Macaca fascicularis: one gene and its partners. The protein of the gene in region 6 interacts with the protein of the main gene of each other region in a pairwise test. Links are inferred from orthologs where the notes say so. Each region holds a gene or a part of one and is shown on either strand. Other genes may lie near its edges.

Region 1 (4,983 bases), on a different chromosome or scaffold from region 6:
CAACCTCTGCCTCCCAGGTTCAAGTGATTCTCCTGCCTCAGCCCCTCAAGTAGCTGGGATTACAGACGTGAACCACCACATCCGGCTAATGTTTGTATTTTTAGTAGATACAGGGTTTATGCCATGTTGGCCAGGCTGGTCTCAAAAACCTGACCTCAGGTGATCCACCTGCTTCGGCCTCCTAAAGTGTTGGGATTACGGGCGTGAGCCACTGCACCCGGCCCCTCTAAGTGCTTCTCTAAGAAAATTCCTGGCAGACCTCTCCAGCCTCTCCGTAGGCTGTTTACTAAGATACAGAATTGGGTTGACACCTGCTCTGCAGGGAAAACAGCCCACAGCGGCCTCCGTGCAGTAAGGGAACTAGTCCACGGTAAGCTCCAGCCCCTCTCGAGGCATCCATAAGGCCTTTGAGAAGGAGGCACTTTCAAAAATATGACTGGCTCATTCCCTCCTCCTTTTCCTTTTCCTGTTGCTTCTTATAAATCTCTCTTAACCTAAAACAACAGAAGAAAGATTCAATCTATAAGCAGGAGCATGAGCCCATGAAGCTCAGACATCCTGTAACACATTCCACCCAGCATTCCACGTACATCCCCTATGCTCACCTATTCCAAACCAGAGACTCAAACCACCTGAACCCTGCTTCTCCCAGCTGCTCTGTGGCCTCTGCCACCACGCACAGAAGTACTGTTCCCAGGAGAGGATATGTGGATTGGATGTTTGGTTCCCAGAAATTTTGTTGTATAACAGCCAGGAATAATTAGAGAGGATTAGATAAGGACAAGGAAATGAGTGAAGGGAGGGCGGTGTGGGGAGAGAGGTTTCCAGATCTTTAAGTAACTGCTGGACGTGTTTGGCGATGCAGACTATCTGTGGCCCTTCTGCTTGGAGCTCCTAACATCAGAAATTTAGGGCTCACTAGGAACGAGGCACTGAGCTAGGTGCTAAGGACAGGACAATGAAGTCCTTCATTGTCACTGGTTCCAGCTGGGGAGGGGCTATGTGGACTCTAGTCAAAGAGACCAAGGATAAGTATACAAATGTGTACTTAATCAGAACCTATGTCTCCTAGGACTTTTTTTTTTTCCCCGAGACAGAGTCTCTGTCACCGAGGCTGGAGTGCAGTGGCGCGATTTCAGCTCACTGCAACCTCTGCTGCCTCCTGGGTTCAAGCGATTCTCCTGCCTCAGCCTCCCTAGTAGCTGGGATTACAGGCGGGCGCCAACACACCCAGCTAATTTTTGTATTTTTAGTAGAGATGGGGTTTCACCATGTTGGCCAGGCTGGTCTTGAACTCCTGACCTCAAGTGATCTACCTCCCTCGGCTTCCCAAAGTGCTGAGATTACAGGCGCTTGAGGTCAGGAGTTAGACACCAGCCTGGCCAACTTGGTGAAACCCCGTCTCTCTAAAAATACAAAAATTAGCTGGGTGTGGTGGTGGGCGCCTGTATCCCAGCTGCTCAGGAAGCTGAGGAAAGAGAATTGCTTGAACTCGGGAGGCAGACTTTGCAGTGAGCTAGCATCACACCACTGCACTCCAGCGTAAGCGACACAGTGAGACTCCATCTCAAACAAAAAAACAAAACAGGAAAACAACAGCAGAATATCACCTGCTTAAATCTCCTCCCCCTTACAAAAAATATTACACTGTCAAACTAACAACACCCAACTTCTGCATTCTGACCATGGCACACAAGCAAACTCAGATTCAAACTCATTTCAGCCACAGAGCAAAGGGCTGAGGGTATGTCGCTGAGTACAGAACACAATGAAAGGGGCCTGAAGGCCTGAGATCCATAAAAGGAAGAAAAACTAAGAGCATCTCGGTGAAGCCCCAGATCTCATCCTGGCTGTAATGACCCACCTCTCTGGCCCGGATGAATCCGGAAAAACTGCTTCCTGAACTCAAAGCGAAGCCACCTCTAGGGCTGGAAGGAGCCGTGAGGCTCTGAGCAGAGGCAGGATTTTTCTTTTTTTTTTTTTTTTGAGACCGAGTTTCGCTCTTGTTGCCTAGGCTAGAGTGCAATGACACAATCTTGGCTCACCACAACCTCTGCCTCTCAGGTTCACGGGATTCTCCTGCCTCAGCCTCCCGAGTAGCTGAGATTACAGGCATGCGCCACCATGCCCGGCTTTTTTTTTTTTTTTTTTTTTTTTTTTTTGTAGTTTTAGTAGAGATGGGGTTTCTCCATGTTGGTCAGGCTGGTCTTGAACTCCTGACCTCAGGTGATCCGCCCGCCTCGGCCTCCCAAAGTGCTGGGATTACAGGCATGAGCCACCGTGCCCGGCCAGAGTAGAGGCAGTTTATAATACATTCCAGCCTAGTTTTCAGGAAGGCATTTCTCTGCAACGGATAACTACAGATTATGTTTTCCCGCTAAAGTCCTTCCCACCTTACCCTCCCATCCTCCATCCTCCACATCCCATTCCCCTCATAGGCTCAAGCATGGCAAAATCCTAGAATAGGCTCCAGTTGCCTGAAAGAGACAGATGAATGAACGTGGGCATTCCCCCTTGAAACCTCTCGGTGCCAGTCCTAAGACACATACCTCTGATCCCCTCTCCCACCACAAGAACACACGCTGACGTGCCCCCTGTTCAAGAGAATCAAGTTGCTAATTGCCATCCATTCTCTATACTCAGCATGTGTCCTCGGAGACACCTTGATCTGCCCTTAAGGAGGTCCTCTTCCTTCCCCGGCCCCTAGTCTTAATGGTACAGTCTCCTTCTCTAGCCTCCCCAAGTGGGATACCTTTGATGGGGTGTAGCACCTCGCATTCCTTTAGGTCAGCCCAAAGAGCTTGTCCCAAAGGATTTGAGCAGGTACCAGAAATCCTCCTCACCACCTAAAGACTTACCTCCATCTGAAGCCATCCTCTCAGCTTTGGGCACTAACCGTGGCTGTCTGGAAGCCTCCAGAATGAGGCAGTCAGGTCCAGGACCCAGAGTAACCTGGCTCCAAGTAGGTGCACAGGGATCCAAGGAAGGGAAGGTAAAGATCAGATCAAACAGAACTAGAATATGGAACTCAAGGCAGTCTGCTGTGGGGGAGGGGAGAGGGGAAAGTGGGGTGAGGGTGGGGAGAGATATTCCATGAAGGGTTCTAGTAACTACGCAAAAACCAGGAATTCCCTTCAAACTACAGTTTGGCAACACAACTGATGTTCGCCCTTTAGGGCTATTTGTAAATTCTTTCTCAGATTCCCAACACATTACAGTTTTGAGTTTGGTTCCCTATACTTCAATTCTTCACCAACATATCTCATTTTGTGTCCTTCCATCCCAGCCAGTTCTGTAACTGACTTCCTATTAACAGCAGGTCGATGGTAGACCCCTGACTTAATCCAATGATGGCTATATTTTCTGAACTAAATTCAGACCACATTGGTCTGTATACTTAAGGATCAAGGGAACTAAAGTCTAAAATTAGAATTGTCAGATGATCCAAGGTGCTCAATTGCTGTGTGCACATCATTTCCTTGGAAAGCTGTCCAATCTACTAGCATAGGCTCTGTACTCCACAGAAGCCTTACCCTTTGCTGAAAAGCCTCACTAAATAAAAAAGCTGCCATGCAGTTTAAAACCTCAAGAGTAGAAAGTCCTTCGTTTTGTTAAATTATTTTGGTTTAAATTTTAAAAATAAAATGTATCTGCTAAGGTTCCTGGTGACTATTTCAGGCCAGTAATTCCCAGACCATCCTCTACAGCCACAGCTTCATCCAAACGTGGATTTCCCCCAAAAGACCTTCCCTGGGGTTCATGGCGTCTTTCTTGCTTTCTCTGAGATATCTTTTCTCTTTTCTAAAGACTCTTTCATTAATAAGACCTGAAGGCTGAAATCATCCTTTTCCTTTCTAACAAAATTAACTACTTAGACATACTTTTTTTTTTTTTTTGAGACAGAGTCTTGCTTTGTCGCCCAGGTTGGAGTGCAGTGGCATGATCTCTGCTCACTGCAAGCTCTGCCTCCCGGGTTCACACCATTCTCCTGCCTCAGCCTCCTGAGTAGCTGGGACTACAGGCGCCCGCCACCACACCCGGCTAATTTTTCTATTTTTAGTAGAGACGGGATTTCACTGTGTTAGCCAGGATGGTCTCGATCTCCTGACCTCATGATCCACCCACCTCGGCCTCCCAAAGTGCTGGGATTAGAGGTATGAGCCACCGCGCCCGGCCTTTAAAAAATTTTTAACAGGTAATACATTAGCAAGGTTCAAAAATCAAACTACAAAATAAAATACATAGCAATAAGTCTGCCTCCCACCCCTTACCCCTTTCTCCTGTAACTAGGTTCTCTATCTCAGAGGAAACCAGTATCATCTGTTTCTTGTGAATAATTGCAGAGATTTTTTATTCAACTACAAGTAAATACAAACCATATCTTTTTTTTTTTTTTTTGGGACAGGGTCTCTTGCTCTGTCACCCAAGCTGGAGACCAGTGGCGTGATCTCAGCTCACTGCAACCTCCGCCTCCCGGGTTCAAGCGATTCTCCTGCCTCAGCCTCCCGAGTAGCTGGGACTACAGGTGACCGCCAGCACGTCCCGCTAATTTTTGTATTTTTATTAGTAAAGACGGGGTTTCACCATATTGGCCAGGCTGGTCTTGAACTCCTGACCTTGTGATCCACCTGTCTCGGCCTCTCAAAGTGCTGGGATTACAGGCCTGAGCTACTGCACCCGGTCACAAACCATATTCTTTTTTTCAGACGGAGTGCCACTCTGTCACCCAGGCTGGTGTGCAGTGGCGCTATCTCAGCTCGCTGCAACCTCTGCCTTCCCGGCTCAAATGACTCTCCTGCCTCAGCCTCTGAAGTGGCTGGGACTACAGGCGCCCACCACCACACTCAGCTAATTTTTTCTGTATTTTTAGTAGAGACGGGGTTTCGCCAGATTGGCCAGGCTGGTCTCGAACTCTTGACCTTGTGATCCGCCCGCCTCAGCTTCCCAAAGTGTTGAGATTACAGGCGTGAGCCAACGCGCCCG
Region 2 (4,241 bases), on a different chromosome or scaffold from region 6:
TTATCTTTCTAGAATTTTATAGGTTTTCTAAAAAGTAGTTATGTCCTTTGGCTTTTTAAAATTTCATAAGCTATAACAAAATTACATTTATATTATTTTAACATTATAAAAAATTTTTAAGCAGCACAGCAACTACAGGAGTTCATGACAATTATATATTTGTACAATTTTAAGACTAAATGATATGCTTACAAATGGAGCTCTATTGCCAAGATTTAATTTGTAAACCATATTTATTCAAGATTATGTCCTAATTAAAAACAGACAAAATGGCCATATTCAGAGAAGAGAAAAATAAAATCATTATGTTTTTGTTGACACTGCTTCAAAGATCAATGACGTGTCACAAATCTTGCTCTCAAATATTAAATTCAACAAACACGAAGTCCAAACACACTTGCTATTTGCTAGTAGACAGCACTGACTCAAATGAACAAAATCTCGAGTATATTCATTTTGGTGTTGTAATAATAATTTTGCCGATTGCTCTTTACTACTTAACATAATGGCATTGAGTTCATATTTTGACAATTTAAATTTTTTCTTTACATAGGCTTCATTTACAGAGCAGAAATCTTCATTTTCCTAATTTAAAAGCAAACTTTACCAAGTAGAAAATATTAAGAATATATTCATCAATGTAGAGCTATGTATAAGGAAAAAGAATGTCTGAAATAATAAAGTGAAAAAAGCACACTAAACAAAAATATAGGTGACATTCAATTTTTAAAAAAATTTTAAAAATAAGTATCTTGCAAATCCATAGAGGAAAGTCTAGAAAAATATACACCCAACTGTTAAGTGTTATATGTATGGAATGGAGACCTGGATATTCTACTTTATGTACTTCCAAATTAATATTTTGCATTAAACATCTATTATTTTAAAAATAATTTTAAGTGAATTACTAGGAACACAGTAATCTGCAAGCATCTAGAAATAAGCAAAAAGTTCCTATCTATACTATGATAAATATTTCTTGATTTTTTGAGAGTCAGTAAAAAAGACTCAGTTTTCTCTCTTTTTTGGGGGGGAACAGGTGGTGTGTGGTTACACGAATAAGATCTTTGGTGGTGATTTCTGAGATTTTGGTGCACCCATCACCCAAGCAGTATACACTATATCCAATGTGTAGTCTTTTATCCCGGCTCAGTTATCTTTATTCGATTGTATACTGCATCCAGAGCAGATGGATCCATGATGTCCTCTTTTCAAACATTCACCCTGAGACCAAAGTGTATTTTTCTCAGTGAGGTTCAAACCTCACATCTAAATGTATGTAAAATCTTGGCTGTGCACTGTGGCTCACACCTGTAATCTGGACACTTTGGAGAGGCCAAGGCAGGTGAATCACTTGAGGCCAGGAGTTCAAGATGAGCCTGGCCAACACAGCGAAACCCCATCTCCACTAAAAACACACCAAAAAATTAGCTGGCTGTGATGCGCGCCTATAGTCCTAGCTGCTCAGGAGGCTGAGGCAGGAGAAATCACTTGAACCTGGGAGGCGGAGGTTACAGTGAGCCGAGATCGCACCACTACACTCCAGCCTGGGTGACAGAGCAAGGTTCTGTGTCAGGAAGTAAAATAAAATAAAATGAAAAAATAAATGTATGCAAAATCTTGCTTTCAAACCACCAAACTGAAGTATATAGTACTTTAGCTCTGAGCCTACAGATATAGCTTTCTAAGTGACTGAAAATCAACACCTTACCAAATGTCACAACTCACTTTACATGCAGAGAAGCAGTGGTTACCTTGGTTATCAAGTTTTTCTACATGACTTTTCAAAATTCTCCACTGTTTTCTGATGCTGTTTGTAAGCTGCTCTCTCACAGTTTCACAGGAAAGGTCCCACATGCTCTCTCTGCTCAGTTCCCCGGCATCTTCTTCAACATCAGAAATAACCTACAAGTGGAGAGAGATGAAGAGGAAAGGCTACCACCTTACAATGGCTTTAGATGCTCAGGCAAGTAGTCTTCAGTTTGATTTCCAGAGGGAGCCGCATCCGAAGCATTTCTGTGCTGTGTCTTATGCACATATGACCCAGTATTTAACATAAATGTCTTGGAAAAAAAAAAAAGAAAAAGACAGAGACTCCTAAATTCAGCTCGCTCTAAACCTGAATTTGAATCCAAATACAGTTAATGACAAGAGTCATGAAGCTGTCTGAGGAGATATCAATAGCTGTCTAATGTGTTGGATGTTTTCACACGTTATTTAACCCTCAGCTCATTACAATGTAGGAAAACTGAGGCTTAGAGAAGCAGCATTACAACTAAGAGGCAGAACTGATATTTGACATTAGATCAACTTGTTTCTAACCCTAGGCTGCTTAAAGAAACACATTTGTGAAATAATCTCTGAAGTACTTAATAGAAGCAACTGTTAATTCTATTTTCCTCATGTACTTTTGTATACAACTGGAGATATTTTTCTTTGTATTCTGCCAAAACATGAAATCATAAAGAAGTAGCAAACTTTACTGATATATGATCATACAGAATCAAAGCAGGATAAAGAACATGGGGAAACAATACTAAAATGGATATATGTCATAATAACCCACATCTACATAAAGTAGTTCTAATTTGTCATTAATATTCAGGAAGGTAGAAAGATACGCTTCACTAATTTGAACAATAAAAATCTTGCTGGGGTAAAAAGGAAGACAAAAGCTGAAAAGAAAGAAGGGCTGATTCGACTGCTCTCACATAGAGATCAGCAGGATGAGGGAGCAACTGAGTCTGAAGAACTCTATCAGTAGTTGAGGTCAGCAACGGCTAGTAGAGGTCAGGGATTCAGAGGCAGAGCAGACAGGGGAATGGCCCAGGATCTGGCTCATGGTGATTCTAGCCCCTTCCAATCCTCAAAAGCTACTTGCCAGTAACTGTTTCAAGGAAGCACAACTTGTCTTCTGAACATTTTAAAGCCTATTAGAATACTACGAATCTGTTAGAAAAATTATTGGCCAGGCGCAGTGGCTCATACCTGTATGTAATCCCAGCACTTTGGGAGGCCGAGGTGGGCAGATCACAAGATCAAGAGATCGAGACCATCCTGGCCAACATGGTGAAACCCTGTCTCTACTAAAAATACAAAAATTAGCTGGGCGTGGTGTTACATGCCTGTAGTCCCAGCTACTCAGGAGGCTGAGGCAGGAGAATCGCTTGAACCCGGGAGGTGGAGGTTGCAGTGAGCCAAGATGGCACCACTGCACTCCAGCCTGTAAACAGAGCGAGACTCTGTCTCAAAAAAAGAAAAATGAGTAATTATTGCACATTTCTCAGATTGAACAGAACTCTGTAACCACAAAATGAAAATTAAAAATTTGGCTGGGCACAGTGGCTCACACCTGTAATCCCAATACTTTGTTAAGGCCAAAGTGGGATGACTGTTTAAGCCCAGGAGTTCAAGACCAGCCTGGGCAACAAGACCCTGCCTCTAAAAAACCAAAAAACAAAACAACAAACTCATTTTACCTGAATTTTTGGTATATGTTTTAGCTACAAGTAAGTAGGTCAAATAATAAATGAAACCTGGATGCTACCTAGGCATTCCAAACATTACATCTTATTTCTCTCGCTATAATGCTTCAAAAATCTTTCCCTACAAAAATGAAAGAGAAAAGGGAGCTAGAAAAATGGATCTTTTAAAACTAGAAAATATATTCAAGAGATCGTTGTTAGTCCACTTAAACATCTGAATTATGAAGAATTATACAGGATACTACCCACTGGCTGAGTAATGGGGGTGAGGAAGGTTTAATCACTGGAGAAAGATCTCCCTGATTTGCCACATACTTTTGCTGACTGAAATCTGGTGATGAGACGTTAAGGTTGGACCAAAAACTGAAGACGCTGCAGGAGTAACGGACACTATGCTAACCTTTAAGAAGTATTAGTGAATGTTAAGAACTGACTAGAAGTGACAGAGTTTGAGATAAAAAGGTTACCTACATATAAGAGGTCAAGCAGGCCTCAAAATGGAGAATGTAAAAGATATTCGGGAATTCAAGACCAACCTGACCAACATGGAGAAATCCCATCTCTACTAAAAATACAAAATTGGCTGGGTGTGGTGGTGTATGCCTGTAATCCCAGCTACTCCGGAGGCTGCGGCAGGAGAATCACTTGAACCCGGGAGGTGGAGATTGCAGCGAGCTCAGATGGTGCCACTGCACTCCAGCCTGGGCAACAAGAGCAAAACTCCGTCTCAAAAAGGCCTGGCGTGGTGGCTCACGC
Region 3 (4,980 bases), on a different chromosome or scaffold from region 6:
GTCCCTGGCAGACCCCATCAGCATCACAGGCATCTCCCAAGCCATGGGTCAGGGATGAGTCTCTCAGCGGCTTGGTGGTCCTCAGCGTGCTCAGCAATAGGAGACAGGCCTACCCCAGGGCAGTGCTCGGCACTGAGAAGGCCGGCAGGAAGCCCGAAGCTTCCGAATATTATGGCCCTATCTCCTCTTCAGTCTTCCTTTTCCTGAAGCTCCTGTAAACTCCTTTCCTAGCTCAACACCACAAAAGAAAACCACTGGATAGGCCGGGCATGCTGGTTCATGCCTGCAATCCCAGCACTATGGGAAGTCGAGGTGGGCGGATCACCTGAGGTCAGGAGTTCAAGACCAGCCTGGCCAACATGGTGAAACCCCGTCTCTACTAAAATACAAAAATTAGCTGATGGCGCATGCCTGTAATCCCAGCTACTCAGGAGGCTGAAGCAGGAGAATTGCTTGAACCCAGGAGGCAGAGGCTGCAGTGAGCCAAGATCACGCTACTTCATTCCAGTCTGGGTGACAAAGCGAGACTCTGTCTCAAAAAAAAAAAAAAGAAAAAAGAAAACCACCGGATGGAAATCTCACCCAAGCCAGTGCCCTAGGAACCCCAAAGATAAACCATAACACATCATGCCCAGCATGCAAATGATTGTCCTGGCACCACCCACACAAGTGCCAAATGGGGGTCAGATTCCGGCCACCCGTTCCTCAGTGCTCAGTGGTCCCAGCTGCCACTCAAGAAGCTCTGTTCCCAGGGAGCATGTCTGAGAGGCAGTGGTGGAGTCCCCTGAGATACTGTCACCGCACAGCCAGCAACAGCTGCACACGATTAGAACTCAGCCAGCAACTGGTGAGCAGCAGGGCTATCAGGGGAGGTGCCCAGGGATTTTCACAGCTGCTGGTTATGTTACAATAGGTAGTGGGACAAGGAAGCATCTCTGATCCTTCTCCTTTGAGCTCCCAATAACTGAACATAGTGACCAACCAAGAACCAGGGGTTCCTGGCCCACGGGCCAGGTGAGGCAAAGTTGTCTGAAACTCATCCCTGCCCACTAGGACCCCATGCAGTCTCTAGTCAGGGGGAATAAGGGATACAGCACATGCACCTCATCATTCAGGACACATATCCTAACTTGAATAATAATAAGAGAACCATCTTCCTATTTGTGCGCTACTTTCCTTTCTCTACTGAAAAGGAAACCAGCCTTTCCAGACCCTTCCACTGAGAACCAGCAAGAATCCACACCTGCCCCCTGTTCATGAGGTAGTATACGTGGAATGGGGCAAATTCTTCATCTCCACAGTAACACAAAGTGCAGGGGACGGGCCATGAGCTAGCAGACAAGAGGAAGTGGGTCTGAAGACCTGAGCTTCTACAAAAGGGCAAACAATGCAGAACAACTCAGGAAGCCCAGGCCATGTGTTACCTGAACTTCCCCATCTGCCCCCACCCCTGTTGCATCAAAGCCAACAGCTACCTGAACTGATGGAGCAGCCAGCTCTGGGGAGGAGCTGAGAGGCTCTGGGCTGTGGCAGTTATAGTAGCCCCCAGCCTCGCCCACCCAGAGGCTGTCACTGCATACTCTGTCACAGCCAACCCACCCAACAGTTTTCTGGCTGAGATCATTTCTCCCCACTCCTCCCTCAGAGCTAGAAAACTCCAGTCCAAATCCCTCTGAACACTATGGAAGGGCACCTTCCAGGTGCCTGAAGACACAACACAGGGCTCAGGCTTGCCTGTCATCCTCCCGTGGCCACCAGTACAACATGATCCCACTACTCCCTACAAACACACAATGACGTGACCTTTCCCCCTCCAGAAAGGATCAATCCATCCACTCCATCCTTTCCCCTACACAGTGTATTCCCGCAGGCATCTTGGTCCACCTCTAAGGAGCCGTCCTCCCTAACCACAGACTCAGGGTGCCATGGCCATCCCCAGCTGTGATGTCTTTGGGGACATCCAGTGCTCCCTCCCTCTTCAACATCAGCCCTATCAGCTGTCCCCAGGGGAAGTTCAAATTTGAATTCCCAAGGAGTTGAGGCATGGCAGACTCGGATAATGCCCCCATCCCTACAGGCTCACCTCCATTTGAAGCCATCCCCTCAGGCTGGGCACTGACCACTGCTGTCTGGCAGTTTCCGCAATGAGAAAAGTCAAGGGCAGGACCCAGAGAGTGACCTGGCTCAGCAGATGCTCCTGAGTCCAAGTGGAGCAGGGAAAATTTGAATGTAAATAGCTTTGGAACATAGGACCCCAGACATTCTGCAGAGGGGGAGGGGCGGTGGGCAGCTGGGCTTGGCAAGGGTGGAGGACATTCTGTGAAGAGCTCTGGCCAGTAGGCAAGAACCTGAGTTTCCCTTCCAACTGGATGGCAGCAACACAGACGGTGTGGGCCCCTTTAGGCAACTTTTAAATTGTCCTTCTGACTCACAGTACCTGATGTCCCCTTTACTTCATTGTACCTGATGTCCCCTTTACTTCATTCTTTATCAACAGACCTACTTTTGTGCCATTCAACCCATGCTCCTTCCCACTTTGGCTCTTTCCCACTCTTGATGAATTTCAACAGGGGCTGCACTTCCCAGACAAAATTCAGAACACATTTTCAGTCTGAGAAACACAGGGGTTCTTAGGAAGGCAAGGGGACTGGGTGTTTGAAATCAGGATGGTCTCAGCCGATCCAGGCTATTAGGTGGCTGTGCGCTCATCATTGTTTACGAGGCAGTCCTTGTGCCCCCGGGTCATGTATGTTGCTGGAATCTCTGTCCACAGCAGCGGGCAGGCCTTACTTCCCATCCCCTTTCCTGGGAAGCCTCAGTCCAGGAAAGAGTGGCTATGCGACCTACAGCACCGAGACCAGAAATCCTTTCATTTTGTTTCCCAGCGTATTGTGCTGGTGTTAAATGTTTATTTTTTTATCTTTTACATGATTTTAACTCAACTAAGCAATACTTTTGCATGGTTCCAGATTCAAACTGTGTACAGTGGAATAGGCAGTGACCAGTCTTCCTCATACCTCTTTTCTCTGGCCACCACATTTTCTTTCCTGGACCAAACAGGTGTTATCTGATTCTTTTTCATCTTTCCAGAGATATATTATGCAATCAAAAGCATAATAAAGCTATTTTTGCTGTCTAAAAATATTTTGTTTTTTTGGGTAAAAATTAATATATATGTTCCAGTATTCTTGTGATACTTGCAGTGACCATGTTTGTCCCAGTAATGTGGTTCCTGTCTTTATTTCTGTAGGTAAATTGCTAGAACGAGATGTTGCTGTTTTTTAAAATTAAAAATACATGAAAGAACATAGTGGCCAGATTTAGCAAGTATGAATAAAGAATACCAAGTGGAATTTGAATTGAAGATAAACAGCGAATTCATTTTTACTATAAGTATGATCCGTATGATATTTAGAGTATACTTTTACAAAAAAAATCTGTTCTTTATCTGTGTTATTCACATTTCACTGGGATCTTGCACTTTATCTGGTAACTCTTCCCAAAAAAGTATAACATATTAGGCAATTATTGTTTTTATTTTATTTTTTATTTTATTTTTTGAGATAGAATCTCACTCTGTCGCCCAGGCTGGAGTGCAGTGGCGCAATCTTGGCTCACTGCAAGCTCTACCTCCTGGGTTCACACCATTCTCCTGCCTCAGACTCCCAAGTAGCTGGGACTACAGGCGGCCACCACCATGCCCGGCTAATTTTTTGTATTTTTAGTAGAGACGGGGTTTCACCGTGTTAGCCAGGATGAGTCTCGATCTCCTGACCCTGTGATCCGCCTGCCTCGGCCTCCCAAAGTGCTGGGATTACAGGCGTGAGCCACCACGCCCGGCCTAGGCAATTATTGTTAACTCTCCACTGTGAGAGTGAGAACTTGCAGTAAGGAGACTCAAGTGTGAATCTTGGCTGCACCGCGAAAAGATTCTGCACCACAACCATTGCAGAAAACAACAGCAGGCTGATTTGATGAGAGGAAGTCAGGAGTAGCCATTATATCCTTCTCAGCTTCCAGGTTTAGTGGCAGTATGCAGCTTTAAGGGACAGGAGGGCAGAGCACCGTCTTTTTCTTTCCGAACATAAAGCAGCTTACAATTCCTAGAACTCCGGTTTCTCCAGGAGTTAGAAATTCACTACCCATGTCCATTCTGAGACAAGCGAGGATGCTGTCCACCAATGTCCCATCCCCATTCCCATGCATCCCCTCGCACGTGTGAATCCTGGCTGGCCTCTCTCAGCTCACTGTTGGCCTCATCTTCACCACAAGTGTCATTGCATGTGGTTCTGTGTGGGAATTATTGTAGCCTGTCTTTAAAAAAAACTTCATTCTCATTTTCACACTGAGAATTGCTGCTTATCAGCGTCAAAATGACAGGAAAGAGCACTCATGTTCTGTGCTGTGAACAAGGGGAGTTTTAGGAAACTGGTCAAAGGAGATGAGGAGTACTCAGAGCACAGCAACAAAATCTGAGACACACATGTCACTCCCTGCTGGGCAGGGTAATTTTGCACTGATGGGAGGGTGTTGGGGAAGGGAAGAGGCCGTCAGCCGGACTGGTGCACACTGTGAACATTCACTGAAACACACCCTGTTGGCACTTACGAAGCATTTGCCCCTTTCGAAGACATTTGGACTTAAGAAGGCAGAGTTGCAAGAAAATGTAATGGGCCACACCACAGGGGAAGGCGGTGGATTGCAAGTCTCAAGCCCAGGGTTCTCCCCTCCTCGCTCCAGTTGTGTGAAAAAGTCATTTCCTAACTCCTGTCCAATATCCTCTGAGTTCTCGATTTTGTCCCAACTCTAAACCTGAATGGTCCAGCGAGCATTTCTATAAAATGCCTCCACGGTGGCCACTGGGAGGGGAGTGACCTCCACGCAGTGACTGCCTGTCTGGGTGTTCCCAGGCCTTCTGTCCTGTGAGACAGAGCTGCCTTCTTACATGCAGCCCTCTTCTGCTGTGCAACTCTACCTCGA
Region 4 (4,686 bases), on a different chromosome or scaffold from region 6:
ACTTTTCATCATGGTGTCAGTACAATTCATACAAACATGCTGTTTAGTTTCTCATTGCTTCCAGGGGCTTTCTAGGCAGTGCTAAAAAGTAGCAGGTGAGACATTAATATAGGATATTTTCACCTAATCAATCCTGCGTCAGGACTCACTCCAATTTTTCTCTGTGTAATTATTGGACATTCTGCTATGCTTTTGCTCACACAGGGGTGCTTAGGAGCCAAGAAAGTACCCAAAGGGAGAGGATGTAAAGAAAATGTGTCAATACGGCACCTTTTAATTGTTGGGATGCTGACTGTCTCGTCTGCCAGTTCCTAACTTGCTGGGCATGGGGAAGGTGGGTGGAATCACATAAAACTTTGTTATATTAGTTCTTCAGCAAGAAGATGGCATCGCTGGTAACAAAAAGAAAAAAAAAAAGGCTGGGCGCGGTGGCTGTAATCCCAGCACTTTGGAAGGCTAAGGCTGGTGAATGACCTGAGATCAGGAGTTCGAGACCAGCCTGACCAATATGGAGAAAACCCGTCTCTACTAAAACTATAAAACTAGCCCGGCGTGGTGGTGGGTGCCTGTAATCCCAGTTACTTGGGAGGCTGAGGCAGGAGAATCACTTGAACCCAGGAGGCATAAGTTGCGGTGAGCCAAGATCGGGCCATTACACGTCAGCCTGGGCAACAGGTGCGAAACTCTGTCTCAAGGGAAAAAAAAAAAGCTGGCGAGGTGGCTCACGCCTGTAATCCCAACACGTTGGGAGGCCGAGGCGAGCAGATCATGAGGTCAGGAGATCGAGACTATCCTGGCTAACACGGTGAAACCCCGTCTCTATCAAAAATACAAAAAATTAGCCAGGCATGGTGGCACACGCCTGTAGTCCCAGCTACTCGGGAGGCTGTGGCAGGAGAATCCCTTGAACCTCGGAAGTGGAGGTTGCAGTGAGCCAAGATCACACCACTGCATTCCAGCCTGGCGACAGGGCGAGACTCGTCTCAAAAAAAACAAAAACAAAAAACCATGTTCCCGCCGGGCACGGTGGCTGATGCCTGTGATCCCAACACTTTGGGAGGTCAGGCAGGCAGATCACCTGAGGTCGGGAAACTAGCCTGGGCAACATGGTGAAGCTCCGTCTCTACTACAAATATAAAAATTAGCAAGGCATGGTGACACATGGCCTGTAATCCCAGCTACTCGGGAGGCTGAGGCAGGAAAATCGCTTGAACCCTGGAGGTGGAGCTTGCAGTGAGCCAGGATGGAGCCACTGCACTCCAGCCCGGGTGACAGAGCGAGACTCCGTCTCAAAAACAAACAAACAAACAAAAACTCATTTTCCATGACAGGAGATTTTTGTGACAGATTTCAAGGGCCACACAGACACCAGCTAACCCAGCAGCAACTGGCTGCTCTGGCTCCATCTTTCTTCTAGAATCCAAGAGGCTCTCTCCATTCATTTAGGAAATATGCACTGAGCGTCTACTAAGTTATGAGACACTGGGTAAGAGGATGGGGATGTGAAACTGTGAGGGAGATTAAAAAATCTTGCCCAAGTCCCAGTACCGAGGGAAGCTTGACAGGCTCTTGTGGTATAAAGCCAAAATCTAAGGATGAATGGTTTTAAAAAAAGAGAAAAACGGACTTCAAGTGTGGAAGTGGGGAGCGGGTAACAACAGCACGTCCTCCGTCCCGGCCGTTTATATACCTGGCTAGCCTGAAGGACTCACTTCCTTACCTCAGTTTCCTGAAACCGTAGCTTTCTGGCACTATGCCACGGTGCCCTGTGGCATGTTTAATATTTGCATTTAACCATTCAAAAGTTACTTTAAGGAGATGAATTGCACATTTCCAACTCTAGTAAGTAACCTTGTTCCTCCCGGCACTCTTGTCGAGTTAGCCTTTACGCGCAGAATTCTTCCAGGTAGACCACCTGAGCAATCAATAAAACTTTTATCTCTGTAAAAATATCGTTTAAAATATCTACATAGGGAGACGTAGGTACACAAGCACACAAGGGCCTCCAAATCGGTGGTACACACCTCACGGATAAGACGAGGGCAAAGCATGCGTGGGAAACCACGTTTATCATAAAGGGAAAGGGGCGGTCACGAGGAGCCACGAGCGCCCCAGGCTTTAGCTTTGCTGCCGGCCGGCCAGGCCTCGCGCCAGCCCGGGTGCACACCCAAGGCGCCGGGCCCGCCTCCAGCTCCCGGGCAGCGGGAACCGCGAACCGCCGTGGAACGGCCGGGAAGGGAGCGCTGCGCCCCCTGGCGGCGGGGCCCATCCCTCTCCGCTCCCGGCCGCCGCCGCCGCGGGCCGGCCTCACTCCATTTGCAGCCTCCGTAGGCTTGGTTCCTCCGAGCGGCGGCTCCCCCGGCCTCCCGCTCGCCGCCCGGCATCTCCCTCCAGTCCCCGCCCCCTGCTCCAGCTCCGACACCCGCTTCCACACGCCGAGCAGTGCCCCGCCACAGCCCCGCCGAGCGCCAGCGCCAAGCTGCCGCGAGCCCGGCAGAGCCTTCCGGCCGCCCCGGCCGCTCCATCGCGGCGCCCGGCGGGGGTGCGGGGCCGGCGCGCGGCGCGAGTGGGGCGGGCGGCGGCGGCGGCGCGGACGGTTCCACCGCGCGAACCCCCCGTCCCCGCGCGGCGCGCGTGCTCCCCGGAACGCCATGGAGTCGCCGCGTTCCGAGCGGGCACAAAGGGGCGCGCAGCACAATGGGCGCGGCGAGCCCGTGGGCGCCCAGCGCCCGCTCCGGTGGCTCGGCCCGCGCGGGGGTGGGCGCTACTACCGGCAGGCGCGCTTCGAGCAGCCCCCCTCCGCGTCCCCTCCCCTGCTCCCGCCCCCACCCCGGCATGGATGTTGCAGCCACTCTCCCGGCTGCTCGCCCCGGAGCCGCCAACGCTGCCGCCGCCGCGCGGCCGGCTTGATCCGCCCCGCACTTACCTGGGACGCGAGTTCTGTACTTTGCCGGGCGGGCCCGCGCCGAGTTTGGGCGCCACGTGGGGGGAGGGCGCGGGGCCGGGGAGTGGGGGCCGCGCGCGGAGGGCCTGGCCGGGGCGGCCCGGGGAGGCGCTGGGGGCGGCGGGCGGGCGAGCGCCGTGTATTTTCCCCTCTCTTTGTGTGTGTCCGTGCGCTGCGCTCTCGCGTGACGTGACGGGACTCCGTGTGTCATTTCCGCACAAGGACACAGGAGCCCCCGCTGCAGTGGAACCACAACCCCTCCGCCCCCACCCCCGGCCCGCCCCTCCCCCTCAGCGGGGCACACGCGGGACCGGCGGCGGCGGCGCTCGGTCGTGAACGGCCGCGGCGGGGAGCTCGGGCGCGCACTCCGGGGACCCAGGCGGCCAGGCGAGCTCGGCGGGCGCAGTCGCTCCACGTGGGCCCACGCTGGCTGCCCGGGGCGGGGGCGGGGGCGGCGGCCGGGCACCCACGGCGCGGCGGGCGGGCGCCGCGAACGATGTCCCTTGTACCCCCTATGTCCTCCCACCGCGAGTCCGTCCTCGGAAACGTGGTTTCTCAGACCCGAGAGTTTGGCCCCAAACGCCTCTTTTTCTACTTTTTTGCCCCTTGCGGGACGGCGACTGTGCGGAGCTTCTCCCGCCTCGCGCCCACGCCTCTCCCGCATTTTTGGCTTTTGGGCCGCAGCCCAGGCCCCCGAAGCCGGTCTTCCCGCGCCGCGACCGGCACAAAGACCTTGGGGTGCGAGGGCCTGGGTGGCTTCTGCGGCCCCGCGGGGCGGCATGGAGTCCGGCGGGACGCGGGAGAGCGACCCTGGCGCTGGGAAAAGCTGGCTCTGGCCACTCCCCCTGCACGGTGGCCGCCCTCTGTTGTGAGCCTGGGAGCTAAAATCTTGCCTGCTACTTGCAACCCGAAGTTCTGGGGGGTGAGGCTGCGGAGCGAGAGCTTCGGAAGCGCCCGCGCTCACAGACACACACCCCACAAACACAAACCCACGGGCTGTCTGCGCCGAGCGCCTAAAATAGAAAAACACGAGTCACCAACTCAATAAAGGCTCATTCTGTCTACTCCTAACTCTTGGACTGTAGATTCCCAGTTGATAAAATATGAAATCTACCCTTCGGGTATTTTCTCAAGTCTCAGTGGCTGGGTGGGGGGAGGGGGAGGTGTTGGGTGAGAGTCAGGGAAGCCCAATTCAACAGTTTAGCCACGTTTGTATTTTAGGCAAACAATGAGGATGTAAATTTAAGAAAAATCCTTTAATTTGCCGATCAAAGAAAGTATAAAAAGAAAAATGCAAATGATCCCATCTGCTGCTCACAGCTGACTGGTTGCAAGGGAGGACCATGTGGCACGGCCCTGCGCGGGCAGTGAATAGGTAGAATAGATTTTTTAAAGAAGGCATATGTTGGCTCCTTGCTGCCCAGTCGCGGCGAGGGTTTGAATTAACGTATAGTTTGGGATTACCGTACCCTCCTCCTGACCACTCCAATTGGGAATTTAGTAATTATGCAAGTTCCTCCCCTTCGGGCTTGAAATCAAAAGGCACAGGGTTAAGTTTGAGGAACTACGTGGAACATTCTCGAGTTGTATTTGGATTGCTGGTTTAGAGAAGTCAGTACTAATTGCTATGCAAAATTAAGCCAGCAGTCTGAAAAACCAAGCCCTGCATCCAGGGGGTGCTTTTATAGAAGAATCTATACGTGCTCAGTGTCATTCAAAACAGGATGATGAAAAGAATGGGG
Region 5 (4,241 bases), on a different chromosome or scaffold from region 6:
GCCCTGATGTCCGCACCCTGGCCCTTAGGCAAGCAAAGTTGAGGAAAGTTTGTTTTCCTAAGGGCCACCAGAGTTCTTTAAAGTGACAACTCTCTCTCTTGCCCACTTTAATGCTTGGGAGGATGGGAGGCTCCGCTCTCTAGTAGACCCAGGACACAAAATACTCCCTAGTATCTATAGAATGCTTTTTGAGTGATGAAGAATAGTCATATCCATGAATTTGGGGGGATGCTCACATCACAGGAGTAAATGAGAGAAGACACGTGGTGCAAAGTTCTTTTCCTGCCAGAATTAAAACTCACCTGAATCTTGTTCCGTAGGCTCTGGCACTCTACTTTCTCCATCTAATATACTAGATGATAATCAGCTCAACTTAGTTAAATCCATGCTAATAAAGAAAAAGTAGAGGACTTCCTGCACACCTCCACCCCAGGTGGTGGGAATTTCAGGCCCAGATGGAAGAAAGTTAGAGGGGGCGGGCACAGGGGATGGCAACCCACCTAGGAAGATTTCATAGGCTGACGGTGCCTCCCTGAGCCCTTCAAATCACCCATTCAGAAGGCAGCCACCCACTCCTCCTCAGGCAAACCGTGGTGGGCCGCATCACCCAGTGACTTAAGATCAGACCACACAGCCATTCAGCATTTCTTTGAATTTTATTGAAAATTGACATGGACATTAGAAAGGTAGTAAGCTAAACAGTGCTGGTTCTGGGATGTTTCTCCTGGAGAATGAAAGCCCCAGAGGGGCAGTGACTGGTCACACCTTTGAGCAAAAAGAACAAAGGAGAAGAAAGGAAAAGCACACACAGATTCTGGAAAACATGCAAAGAGGCTCTCTCAAGAGACACTGAACAGCAGAATGGTGGTGATGATGGTAGGGATCTATGAGAATGAGCACACTCACATGGTATTTTGATGCAAGTTAAACCAATGAATTCAAGGCAGATTTACCAACATCAAAGCTCTCCCTCCAGATCCCAGGTTGAGCAGAAACCTCTCTCAAAACCCCAACTGGTCTCAGAAGGTGGAATGGAGTAATTTTGCCCTCACTAAGCTTAAACCCCCTCCCTTCTCTCCCTTCTCTCCCTTCTCCACCTGAGTGTTAGATAGTGGACACATTTTTCCCCTTTGCTGGAATCTATAGAAGGTCTGTAAATGCTGAAGAAGATAAAAATGTCACTTGACTTTCTCTTCCATATTCAGAAATATTTTAACAGTGGCCGTAGACAGTCAACCCATCGAACCAGAGAAATGTTTAAAAGAAAAACACAAAACGCAAACAAAACCTTGTGAACAGAACAGTACTTCCACACCCACAGCTGAAGTGTCCTGCCCCAGTCACTTACACTTGGGTGAGTGGTCCTGTAGTTGTTTCTCTGAGGTTACATTTGGTCCATTTTCCAGCTCTGATGGTTCTTTTCCTGCCTTGTTAGTTAGGACAAGACACTTCCATTTAAAATACCATGTGAGTCGGGAAGAGAGCTTCTTGCCTGGACACAGGGACACATGAACACTTGTTGGGTGGTGTGGCGTATGTGTGTGTGCTTGCAGTTTGAGGGGAGAGGGAATTGGTTGATTTCTGATTTGAGACAATATGGAACCCTAACTCTTCTATAATGGCAGTCTTCTCCTTTAGACTTAGTGCAGCTGCTGAAGACAAGATTAAAAAAAGCTGGAGAGGGAGAGAGAAAGAGAAAGAAAACATGAGATTAGCCAAAGAAAGAGGACATTCAAAGTAAGACAGGGGGAGGGGAATGGGCAGTACTGAGGTAGCACAGATTATAGTTTGAGAAGACAGGTTAGAAATGGGGGTCACTGTTGGGCCATCACCACAGGGAAATCTGCTGAGAAGGTTTTAAGAACACCACACACCAGTTTAAAGCTTCTTGTTTTAATTAAAAACAAGCACATTATTAACAGCCACATGTGAATGCCAAATGATTAAAACATAAAAACAAAAACAAGAGCCATCTACACTGCAGCTAGGGAAAGCAAACTTCTTGGCTTAGGAGAAGTGAGGGATGTGTGTACGTGTGTGTGTGTGTGTGTGTATTTCAGAAAAGCCACTCCAGTCTGGGAAAATAAAAGCACAGACCATTGCTAATGACTGGTTTTGTTTCACCAGAAGTAAACAGAGTACTTAGGGTATTTTTTTTTTAAATAGTAACAGTTGTACTAATTTTTTGTTGTTGTTGTTGAGACGGAGTCTCACTCTGTCGCCCAGGCTGGAGTGCAGTGGCCGGATCTCAGCTCACTGCAAGCTCCGCCTCCTGGGTTTACGCCATTCTCCTGCCTCAGCCTCCAGAGTAGCTGGGATTACAGGCGCCCACCACCTCACCTGGCTAGTTTTTTTGTATTTTTTTAGTAGAGATGGGGTTTCACTGTGTTAGCCAGAATGGTCTCGATCTCCTGACCTCGTGATCCGCCCCTCTCGGCCTCCCAAAGTGCTGGGATTACAGGCTTGAGCCACCGCGCCCGGCCTAGTTGTACTAATTAAAACACCTTTTCATTGAAGAAGGAAAAAATCTTTCTGTCTACAGTGAATAAAGCCACCCAATGAAATACCCATTTTAATGGGCTTGATCAACTTTTTATGTTCACTCATGGGTTTGATTTTTGTTTACCAAACTTCCCTGATTATAATGGTCACCTAGGGCACCTGTTACACACAGTCTCCTGGACCCCGTTCCAGCCTTGCAGCATCACTGGGTTAAGGAGCTGGCCCAGCATGCCTTCATTTTGCCAGCCCTCACCCAATCCATCTTCAGATGTTTTTCTGTGGGAAAAAACCTCGAGGGTCTTCTAATACTAACTATTCAGTTACTCTGAACATCAAAAGGCCTCGTATCCAGGAACGTATATAAACAGACTGAATCCCTTTGTGAAATGGATTGGGAGTCAGGAGGCATGAAAATTAGTCTGGCTTCTGCCTGGAAACAGCACTGGGACCTTGCTCAAGTCCCTTCCCTTCTCTGGGCCTTCATTTCCCCTTACGGAGTAACTAGGTTATATCGTCTTACTGACTAAAATGTCTCCCTTAATATAAAACTCCTCTTTAGTTTCTGAAGGTCTCTCCAAGGCTGTGTGGGTCTAATACTTTCGAAGTATTCAGAGCTTCTCAAGCCTTAAGTAGTTAATCTGTACAGAAATGCAAATGAGGGCGCCTCCGGTTTGTAATGCAAATAATTACCGGGCGGCGGGGTCAGGGGTGGTAATTACCAGTTGGTTTTTTAAGCGTGAATTTCTGGGAAAGCAGCTCTGAAGCTGGACATAGAATCATCAAAGTTGCAAATACGAAGCCTTTCCCAGGGAGACCTGACAGGCCTAACTCAGCATCTCTCTGAGCTACTGGCTGAGTATCTGAGCAGATTTTTTGTTGTTGTTGTTGGTTTGTTTCTACCTCCAAGCATATGGTCTTCAAAACAATACTCCACCGTAACTTGAATTTTCCCAAGAAACTGGCTTGTGCTTTGGCAGCATCACCTTTATACTTGCTCTGGTCACTCACCAATCAGTAGAGCACCAGACGGTACACAGCAAACCTACACTTTTGCTTTGCCAACAAAAAAAAGGAAGTACGTGCATATGTTTGCTTTTCATTTTTTTCTTTTTGCTTCCTACTATGATCTATAATCGAAGCGAGAAATCCCCTTCCCCTTCTCAATACTTCAAAAAGGCCTGGAAATTTGGCATAACCTTGTTTGACTGTGTGCTTTGAAAGTAAGTGATCAAAAAAAGAAACTCTAAAAAAAAAAAAAAAAATAGAAGGTGGTCATGGTCAGTGCCAGTGGGGCTGGGAGGCAGGAGCAAGTTGCGGAACTCAAAAAGAGGTGAGCTTGAAGTACATGGCAGGGTAGGGGTGGGGGGCCTGGCTGCCTGGCACCCCAAAGGAAAGCTGTCAGTTAAAATAGAAACCTCGGCTTAAAAGGCTAAATGGAGTCCAGTCCAGCTGTAGCGGGGAATACTATTCAGTACACAGCCATGGATTACTGCAAAGGAAGGGCAGAGAGACGGCACGTTAGCCACAGATCATTGCCAGGTCAACTCCCTCTCTCACACTGTCACTGGCCAAACACCAAAGGCCACTGTGCCTCATAACCCTAACAAGGGAGGGCTCTCTACTTCACAGAGGTTCCCAAAGCCACTATCAGATGGGACCCATGATAAAAACTAGGGCTGGAATATTTTTAAACTCTCAACTCCTTAAATTGGAAAGCAAGTCAAGGGCCTTCCAAGGCG
Region 6 (3,007 bases):
ACAGCAGGCTGCACTGGGTAACCCGAGGTCTTAGGAACAGAGTATCAACAGTGAGAAGAGGCGGTTCCTCTGTCCTCCAGCACACAAGGGTCAGGGAAAGACAGAACTACCAATGACTGAGCAGCGTCCGCTGGCCAGCATCCTCAGCACTTTTCTGCGGTCCAGTTCTGGAATGGCAGGTGACAGGGCACATACAAGACCTCTGCTCCACTGTCATTGTCAACTCATCTCAGCTCTGGTTCATTTGTTCACCTCGAGTCAACAAGGGGCGCACTGGCTTTACCCAATACTTGTCAGCTGGTGCCCACCGCGCTGTCAGGCAGTGAGATTTCTGGCTGACTTGGAGGCGCTCTGGGCCCGCTGAACGACGGCAGAACACTTCTCACGCCGCAGCAGCTTGTTGTTCTCAAAGAGACCTTCATTGCGGGGGATTCCATGAGAACCATCGGGGAAAGTCAGCAGGCCTTGAGGAGGGCAGAGAAAACATGGGAGTAACAATGGCGTTAATGCCTCAAAGGTGAGCTCGATATGTTGAGGCTGAAGAAGAGAAAAACTCGCAGCTCTACTCAGGAGCACTCTATTGGTGAGTTCAATGGATAGGCGTCAGGGATGGCCGCTATGGATTGCTGGACCCCCGCAGGATTAAAACGAAACAGGTATATTTCCACCCATATTATGCCCACCTAAGTCACCCACCCTGCTGGGCTGCAACTTACCAAAACCATCTACTCTGCCATTTTTAAATTCCCCCTCAAACGTCATGTTGTCGTATCGAATGAAGACTCCGACGCCATTAAACTTGCCCTGGGCAAACTCCCCCTCATACCTGCAGAAACACCAGAAGTTAGCCTTCAGTGGGAAGTTAGCTGTCCAGATTAATGGAGTTGAGCAGCTGCGGATCTCTGTTATTTAATAATGCCAAGAAGCAAGCCGATTCCACCTGTCACATAGCTCCATCTACCCCATCTAGTCCCAGCCAGCAGAGAAGGATCAGAGTATATATGCCATGAAGCCCTGATCTCAACGAAAGAAGATAGGATGGGAATGGGAGTGGGGTGGAAAGTCACTCACTTGGTTGACATTTCAAATTTTAGGTCCACTTAAAAAATAACCAATAAAAGGACTACTTAGTCCTCATCTGTGTTCTGCAGGGAGTGAGACAAGCTCAGGATTGACCAGATATTTACCAGTGTCCCATTTTTATGTCAGACCCTCCCTTATTTAAGGCTAAGAAAGGAATGACCTCATACCCACCTTGAACCATCTGAGAAGGTCAATACCCCAAAGCCATTAAAGAGCCCATTCTCAAAATGACCCAGGTAGGTGCCACCATCTGCAAACATCAGTTGACCAAAACCATGCCTGCGGCCTGAACAAAGAGAAGGACAGGTGTCAGGTTGGAAGGAGGCAGTTTCAGGGTCCCTTCTTACTCTTCTAGCATCCCTTACCTGCCATCACCCTACCCACAAAGAAAACAAGAGAAGCAGTGACATTAGCAGGGCAGAGGATTATTAGCCAGAGTCAGGCACTGGGAAAACCTGGCTCCTGGGGCCTTCCCATCTTATCACTACAGATTACAGCAAGTCTACCCAAGTATGAATAAGAGAGCACTTAAAAATAACAACAGCTGGCCAGGCGCAGTAGCTCATGCCTGTAGTGCCAGCATTTTGGGAGGCCAAGGTGGGTGGATCATGAGGTCAAGAGATCAAGACAGTCTGGCCACCATGGTGAAACCTCGTCTCTACTAAAAATATAAAAATTAGCTGGGTGCAGTGGCGCGTGCCTGTAGTCCCAGCTAGTCGGCAGGCTGAGGCAGGAGAATCACTTGAACCCGGGAGGCGGAGGTTGCAGTGAGTCGAGATCGGGCTACCGCACTCCAGCCTGGGCAACAAGAGCGAGACTCTGTCTCAAAAAAACAAATAATAGCTGGCTGGGTGCAGTGGCTCACGCCTGTAATTCTAGCACTTTGGGAGGCCGAGGAGGCAGGTGGATCACCTGTGGTCAGGAGTTCAAGACCAGCCTGGCTAACATGGTGAAACCCTGTTTCTATTAAAACAACAAAAAATTAGCTGGGCATGGTGGTGGTGTTGTGCTCCTGTAACCCAGCTACTCAGGAGGCTGAGGCAGGAGAATCCCTTGAACACAGGAGGCGGAGGTTACAGTGGGCCGAGATCATGCCATTGAACTCCAGCTTGGGCAACACGTCTCAAAAAAATAAATAAGTAAATAACAATAGCTAACATCTATATTTATAGTGCCTTTACTATGTGCCAGCCTCTCTTCTTTTTTTTTTTTTTTTTTGAGACAGAGTCTCGCTCTGTCACCCAGGCTGGAGTGCAGTGGTGCGATTTTGGCTCACTGCAACCTCCGCCTCCTGGGTTTAAGTGTTTCTCCTGCCTCAGCCTCCCCAGTAGCTGGGATTACAAAGTGTTGGGATTACAGGTGTGAGCCACTGTGCCTGCCCTAAATTACTGAGTCTTGAGAAATTGTACAGGTGTGATGTGACCTTGCCTCCTTCAATCCCACACCTTTCTTCCTGGTTTTCAAATACCTGGTGTCCCCTCTAATGTGGCCTGTTAGAGGAGAGACTTTCTGAGGCTCTACTGGGTGGGCTGTATCCACCACAAGAACTCCCCTGAATTCTGTTTGAAAGGCATGATTACTCCTGCAACATCTTGCTCTGTTTTCTGGTCAGTTCAGAGAGTAAGCACAGCCCCACTGACGTAACGAAGCTCAAACCAGTGCTGCCAATCAGGCTGTTAGATTTGCCCAGCAGCTTTAAGGTGCTAATGGGGTACTGGTTTTTTTTTCCTCAGAGAGGCAGTGTAGTTAGATGTTGAGGACACTGAGTCAGGCTGCCTGCTGTGTTTGCCTTCTTTTTCTACCACTTAGAGTTCTGTGATCTTGAGTAAGTTACTTAGCTTCTCCTTGCCTCAATTTCCCCATCTGTTAAATGGGAATAATAATAGTATGTGCCTACCTGATAAGGTTGTCATGAGGATTAAAT
Region 7 (4,241 bases), on a different chromosome or scaffold from region 6:
CTGCAGGCACGTGCAGAGGAGACGCGTGGAGTGCATGATCTGGTGTGGAATTGCTGGGCATCCGTCTGGGCCAAGTGGGGCACTGGTTTTGATTACTCTGTTTTGTTTTTGTTTTTGATAGGAGAAAGAGCCCCAGAAAAATGAGTCCAGCAACGCCTCTGAAGAGGAAGCCTGCGAGAAAAAAGGCCCCGCCACACAGCAAGCCTTTGTATTCGGGCAGAACTTGAGGGACAGAGTTAAGGTATGTGAGCTGTTGAACCAGCTCATTGACTTTTTATGCCTTCCCCAGGTTCAACAGTAGGCAAGTCAGTAGATTTTCCATTTAACAGGGGAGGGGAAACGTGGGACAAAGAAGGTGTTAGTGAGGCAGCCCCGTGGCTCCCGGCATAGTCAGCTGCTGGCATGCGTGTGCTGGGCCCTGGCAGTTCCCCACCAGCGGCCCAGGCTTTGGAGCCCTCACCTGCAGTGGCTTCTCAAGTCAGAGTCCCTGGTACTCATGGTAGCAGGGGACAGGGGAGGTGACTGAACCTGCGGCCTCAGGCTTTCATAGCAGAAAAGAAAGACAGCATGGTCCAGTGCTCTCAGCTCTGCCCAGAGATTTCTGTTCCCGTATTTCAGGGCTTCTCCATTTCAACACTAGCAGCATTATGGCTGGACCATTCCTGGTTTCTGAGGAGTCACCCTGGACACTGCAGGGTGCTGAGCAGCATCACTGGCCTCCACCCACCCAATGCTCCTGACATCTGACAACCACAAATGTCCCCAGACGTGGCCAGTATTCCCTGTGGGGTAGAATCGCCCCCATTAAGAACTGTCACCTTTTTTTTTTTAAGTGGGGCAGGGTGGGGTGACGACACAGTCTTCCCTCCTGAAAAGGAGCAAAGCATCTGCCACCTCTTGGCTGCCCTCCAGGCATGTGGTCCTAGTTTGGAGACTGTGGGGTGGGGAGGGGCTGGCGGTGGTTGGGAACAGTGGCCCTGGACCATGCACTGGGACTCTAGGAAGACCAGGGTCAGCCAGCAGCACCTTTCTCAGCCATAGACGTGGAATGTGCTGCAGCATCTCTAGAAACTCCACTGGCCAGAAGTTTCTTTCAGAGCCCAAGAGGCGGCATCGGTGGCTATGTCTAGAGACATTTGTGGTTGTCAAAACTGGGAGGTACTTCTGGAGGCCAGGGATGCCACTCCACCCGTCGCAGTGCCCAGGATAGCCACACCACAGGGAATGATCTGGGCCCAATGGCAATATGTCAGTAGTGTCGATGGGGAGGGCCCTCGAAATAGAAACCTCTCTAGCATGCAGAAAGGACCGGCTCACGTTTTCTGCTTTCCTTTCTGTTACTCACCGTCCAACAGAAGCCCAAGTCGAGAAGCATGGAAAGTTGATGTTGCTGTCGCCATGGCTTTAGGCAAAATAATGAGTCCCTCAGGGGCTGCTCCCTCCAAGGAGGAAAGGAGGGCAAGAGGCGGGGAAGGGCTTGGCCCGTGGAGCTCAGGCCCTGTGGAGTCTCTGCCTTGAGTCTGGGGAAACAGCTGCTTTGAATTTGGTGGGGTCGGCTTCTTGCAAAAGTCAGAGGCTTGCGTGCACTTCGCAGTCTCAGTCAAATCCCAGCCTCTCCTTCCAGGGCAAACGTGAGCCATGGATTCTTTTTTTTTCTTTGGACACAGAGCCTTGCTGTGCCATCCAGGCTGGAGTGCAGTGGCATGACCTCTGCTCACTGCAGCCTCCACCTCCGGGGTTCAGGTGATTCTTCTGCCTCAGCCTCCCAAATATCTTGGATTACAGGCACCCACTGCCACACCTAGCTAATTTTTTGTATTTTTAGTAGAGGTGGGGTTTCTCCATGTTGGCCAGGCTGGTCTCGAATTACTGACCTCAAGTGATTCCCCCCCAGCCTCAGCCTCCCAAAGTGCTGGGATTACAGGCATGAGCCACTGCGCCCAGCCAGAGCTGTGGTTTCTTAACCCTCTGAGCCTCTGCTTCCTTGTTGGTCCCTAACATCCCCCTCTCAGGCTTCATGAGGATTAAAGGAGATGGTGCATTTGACAGACTCAGCATAGCAACTGGTAGGAAAGAGGCCCTCAAGAAATGCTGTTTCTATCATGTTCATAGTAAACCCCCCAAAACACCAACTTTGTAACATTGTGTTTTCCGTACAAAGCGTTGACCGAGAGGCCAGCTTAGGTGTGGTTTTATAACGAGATGGAAAAGGCTCCTTGAAGCCTCATGAGCTCTCTTTCTGTCTTAACTGTTAAAGCAAAAGGTGGTGGAGTTGATTACAGCCCTGCCCCCCAGCACGTGCACGTGCACGTGCACACCCAGCCGGGTGCAGGAGAGGGCTCATGACTCCCGGCAGCTCCATGCAGCTCAGGGGCTCTGCAGACACCACCCCAGCCCCCACCCCACCCCCGATTACTGAGCGCTTTGTCTCATTCCCAGCTGATCAATGAGAGCGTGGACGAAGCTGACATGGAGAATGCTGGACACCCCAGCGCAGACACGCCAACCGCAACGAACTATTTCCTCCAGTATATCAGTTCCAGGTGTGTGTCTTGGGCCCAGCGGCCAGCCTAGCATGGGGATGCAGGTGGCCGCAAGGGCTTCTGCCACAGAGGGATCTGTGGTCCCCGTGCCTGACTCAGACCCACAATCCAGGTTGCTCTTGGGCCTGTCATTCCCCACTCTGGGCACAACCGTGGGTGGGCCAGGATTGTAGGCCTTGTTCTGTGATTCACTGGACGCCTGAGACAGGACCAGAGTTCTGTGGGCTTGTCCAGGGGCCCATGGAGGATACAGCCCAGCCCTTGGAGTGTGCCCTCTGTCTTGCGGACCTCATGCCCAGAGCAGAACAGAGCAGGCTAGAGGCGACTCCTTATCCTGGGTTTGGGCACCTGGGGCAAAGACCTCAGCATGCCCTTGATTGACGTGGCTGGGGGTGATGCTACCCACGGCCCAGCTGCCCCTCCAGGTATCTCAGAAGAAAGCGTGTCCCGCCTGGGAGATGGGCGGGCGGAGCAGCTGGAAGGTGGCTTCCCTCATGCTGTGGGTCCCTCCGTCAGAGCGAGCTAAGGGCTCATGTTTCCAACGGCACAGGGAGGCATGTGGCTTCCTGCCTCTGACACGCCACCCTGTGCACAGTAGGGGAGACCCCTCCACTGTGCCCTCTGCGCCAGTGTGTGCTCCGTGGGTGCCCACACATTTGCCTAGCCACATTCCCACGTGACACCCCCACACTCACTGCACATCTTCTCTTCAGTTTAGAGAACTCAACCAATAGTGCCGACGCCTCCAGCAACAAATTTGTATTTGGCCAGAACATGAGCGAGCGAGTTTTGGTGAGTGGCCGTGTTGGGAATGTTCTTGGGGACCAGAGGTGCTCGGCACCAGCCCCAGATCGAGGGGACATGGAGAGCGGGGCTGCTGTGTTGTCCCTTGTGAGATGGGGATGGCTTCAGTAACAAGTGAGAGAGGGAAGACCCTGCTCAGACTTGGAGTGAAAACTGGCCGGGGCCACTGGCCGCCCAGGAGCTGGCATTCGCTCTTCCCAGCTCCTCCCTGCTGACCAGGGCCAGCTTCATCCCAAGATGGGCTTCCCCAGAGGCTGCAGGGCCCTGCTGGCAGTCAGAGTCCACGGTTCCTCTCCACCAGGCCAACTGACAAAAGTCGTGTGGGACAGGGCTGCCGGCCTCCCTGCTCCTGTGAGCATAACCGCGGCCAAGGCTTTGAGTGCAAGAAAGGCCCGTCTCCGTTCCCAGGAGCCCAGCCAGCCTGGGAGAGGGTTCTAGAATGGCTTGCCTACCTCTTTACATGTGTTCCTTTTCCTTCCTGATTCCACCCAGCTCCACTGTGACTGCGTGAGGGCCTGTCCTGAGCTGCCTGGTCACTCTAGCTGTCTTGAGTTATGCTGCATTAAGGACTCTGCAGCTTCTCTTCCTTTATGGCCACGCTGCCTTTTTTCTATTTCAATGAAATAGTCAAAGTCTTGCCTCACCCAAACGGAGTGTCCAGTGTGGTCCGAGGGGACTGTCGACTGGTGGCACTCACCCCCTGCTGATGCCTGAGGGACCACGTGGGGAGCTCCCAGGCAGTTCAGGGTGTCACCAGGAGCGGGCAGGAGTGCTGGGGGCAGCATGGTGTTGGGGGCCAGGCAGAGAGGTGCTCAGAGCTGCAGCTGAAGGACCGCACAAGCTCCCTCTTCCTTGTATGCCTGCAGAGCCCCCCAAAATTAAACGAGGTCAGTT

What was found.
Region 1: the proteins of MORN4 (region 6) and NUTM1 interact in binary tests that used the Homo sapiens proteins (3 or more experiments, as listed by UniProt). The two-hybrid records come from large-scale screens. The link is inferred for Macaca fascicularis from reciprocal best matches to the Homo sapiens genes MORN4 and NUTM1.
Region 2: the proteins of MORN4 (region 6) and SSX2IP interact in binary tests that used the Homo sapiens proteins (3 or more experiments, as listed by UniProt). The two-hybrid records come from large-scale screens. The link is inferred for Macaca fascicularis from reciprocal best matches to the Homo sapiens genes MORN4 and SSX2IP.
Region 3: the proteins of MORN4 (region 6) and NUTM2F interact in a two-hybrid assay, tested with the Homo sapiens proteins (2 studies listed by BioGRID). The two-hybrid records come from large-scale screens. The link is inferred for Macaca fascicularis from reciprocal best matches to the Homo sapiens genes MORN4 and NUTM2F.
Region 4: the proteins of MORN4 (region 6) and BEND3 interact in binary tests that used the Homo sapiens proteins (3 or more experiments, as listed by UniProt). The two-hybrid records come from large-scale screens. The link is inferred for Macaca fascicularis from reciprocal best matches to the Homo sapiens genes MORN4 and BEND3.
Region 5: the proteins of MORN4 (region 6) and SEPTIN6 interact in binary tests that used the Homo sapiens proteins (3 or more experiments, as listed by UniProt). The two-hybrid records come from large-scale screens. The link is inferred for Macaca fascicularis from reciprocal best matches to the Homo sapiens genes MORN4 and SEPTIN6.
Region 7: the proteins of MORN4 (region 6) and RANBP3 interact in a two-hybrid assay, tested with the Homo sapiens proteins (2 studies listed by BioGRID). The two-hybrid records come from large-scale screens. The link is inferred for Macaca fascicularis from reciprocal best matches to the Homo sapiens genes MORN4 and RANBP3.

Annotation. Positions count from the first base shown.
Region 1 is NC_088381.1:10,631,408-10,636,390, reverse strand, and holds the start of NUTM1 (NUT family member 1), read right to left. Parts: upstream 3,264-4,983; 5' UTR 3,214-3,263; coding exon 2,859-3,213; intron 1-2,858. UniProt on the Homo sapiens protein: Plays a role in the regulation of proliferation. Regulates TERT expression by modulating SP1 binding to TERT promoter binding sites.
Region 2 is NC_088375.1:149,991,921-149,996,161, reverse strand, and holds part of SSX2IP (afadin- and alpha-actinin-binding protein), read right to left. Parts: intron 1,906-4,241; coding exon 1,755-1,905; intron 1-1,754. UniProt on the Homo sapiens protein: Belongs to an adhesion system, which plays a role in the organization of homotypic, interneuronal and heterotypic cell-cell adherens junctions (AJs).
Region 3 is NC_088389.1:124,462,735-124,467,714, forward strand, and holds the start of NUTM2F (NUT family member 2F), read right to left. Parts: upstream 3,083-4,980; coding exon 3,018-3,082; intron 1,371-3,017; coding exon 1,213-1,370; intron 1-1,212.
Region 4 is NC_088378.1:68,134,959-68,139,644, reverse strand, and holds the start of BEND3 (BEN domain-containing protein 3), read right to left. Parts: upstream 3,314-4,686; 5' UTR 2,927-3,313; intron 1-2,926. UniProt on the Homo sapiens protein: Transcriptional repressor which associates with the NoRC (nucleolar remodeling complex) complex and plays a key role in repressing rDNA transcription.
Region 5 is NC_088395.1:125,956,030-125,960,270, forward strand, and holds the end of SEPTIN6 (septin-6), read right to left. Parts: exon of another isoform or gene 3,992-4,241; coding exon of another isoform or gene 3,924-3,991; exon of another isoform or gene 1,675-3,923; coding exon 1,436-1,674; 3' UTR 638-1,435; downstream 1-637. UniProt on the Homo sapiens protein: Filament-forming cytoskeletal GTPase. Required for normal organization of the actin cytoskeleton. Involved in cytokinesis. May play a role in HCV RNA replication.
Region 6 is NC_088383.1:106,561,976-106,564,982, forward strand, and holds part of MORN4 (MORN repeat-containing protein 4), read right to left. Parts: intron 1,370-3,007; coding exon 1,255-1,369; intron 827-1,254; coding exon 717-826; intron 465-716; coding exon 316-464; 3' UTR 1-315. UniProt on the Homo sapiens protein: Plays a role in promoting axonal degeneration following neuronal injury by toxic insult or trauma.
Region 7 is NC_088393.1:6,705,555-6,709,795, reverse strand, and holds part of RANBP3 (ran-binding protein 3), read left to right. Parts: intron 1-121; coding exon 122-241; intron 242-2,439; coding exon 2,440-2,543; intron 2,544-3,256; coding exon 3,257-3,335; intron 3,336-4,213; coding exon 4,214-4,241. UniProt on the Homo sapiens protein: Acts as a cofactor for XPO1/CRM1-mediated nuclear export, perhaps as export complex scaffolding protein. Bound to XPO1/CRM1, stabilizes the XPO1/CRM1-cargo interaction. In the absence of Ran-bound GTP prevents binding of XPO1/CRM1 to the nuclear pore complex.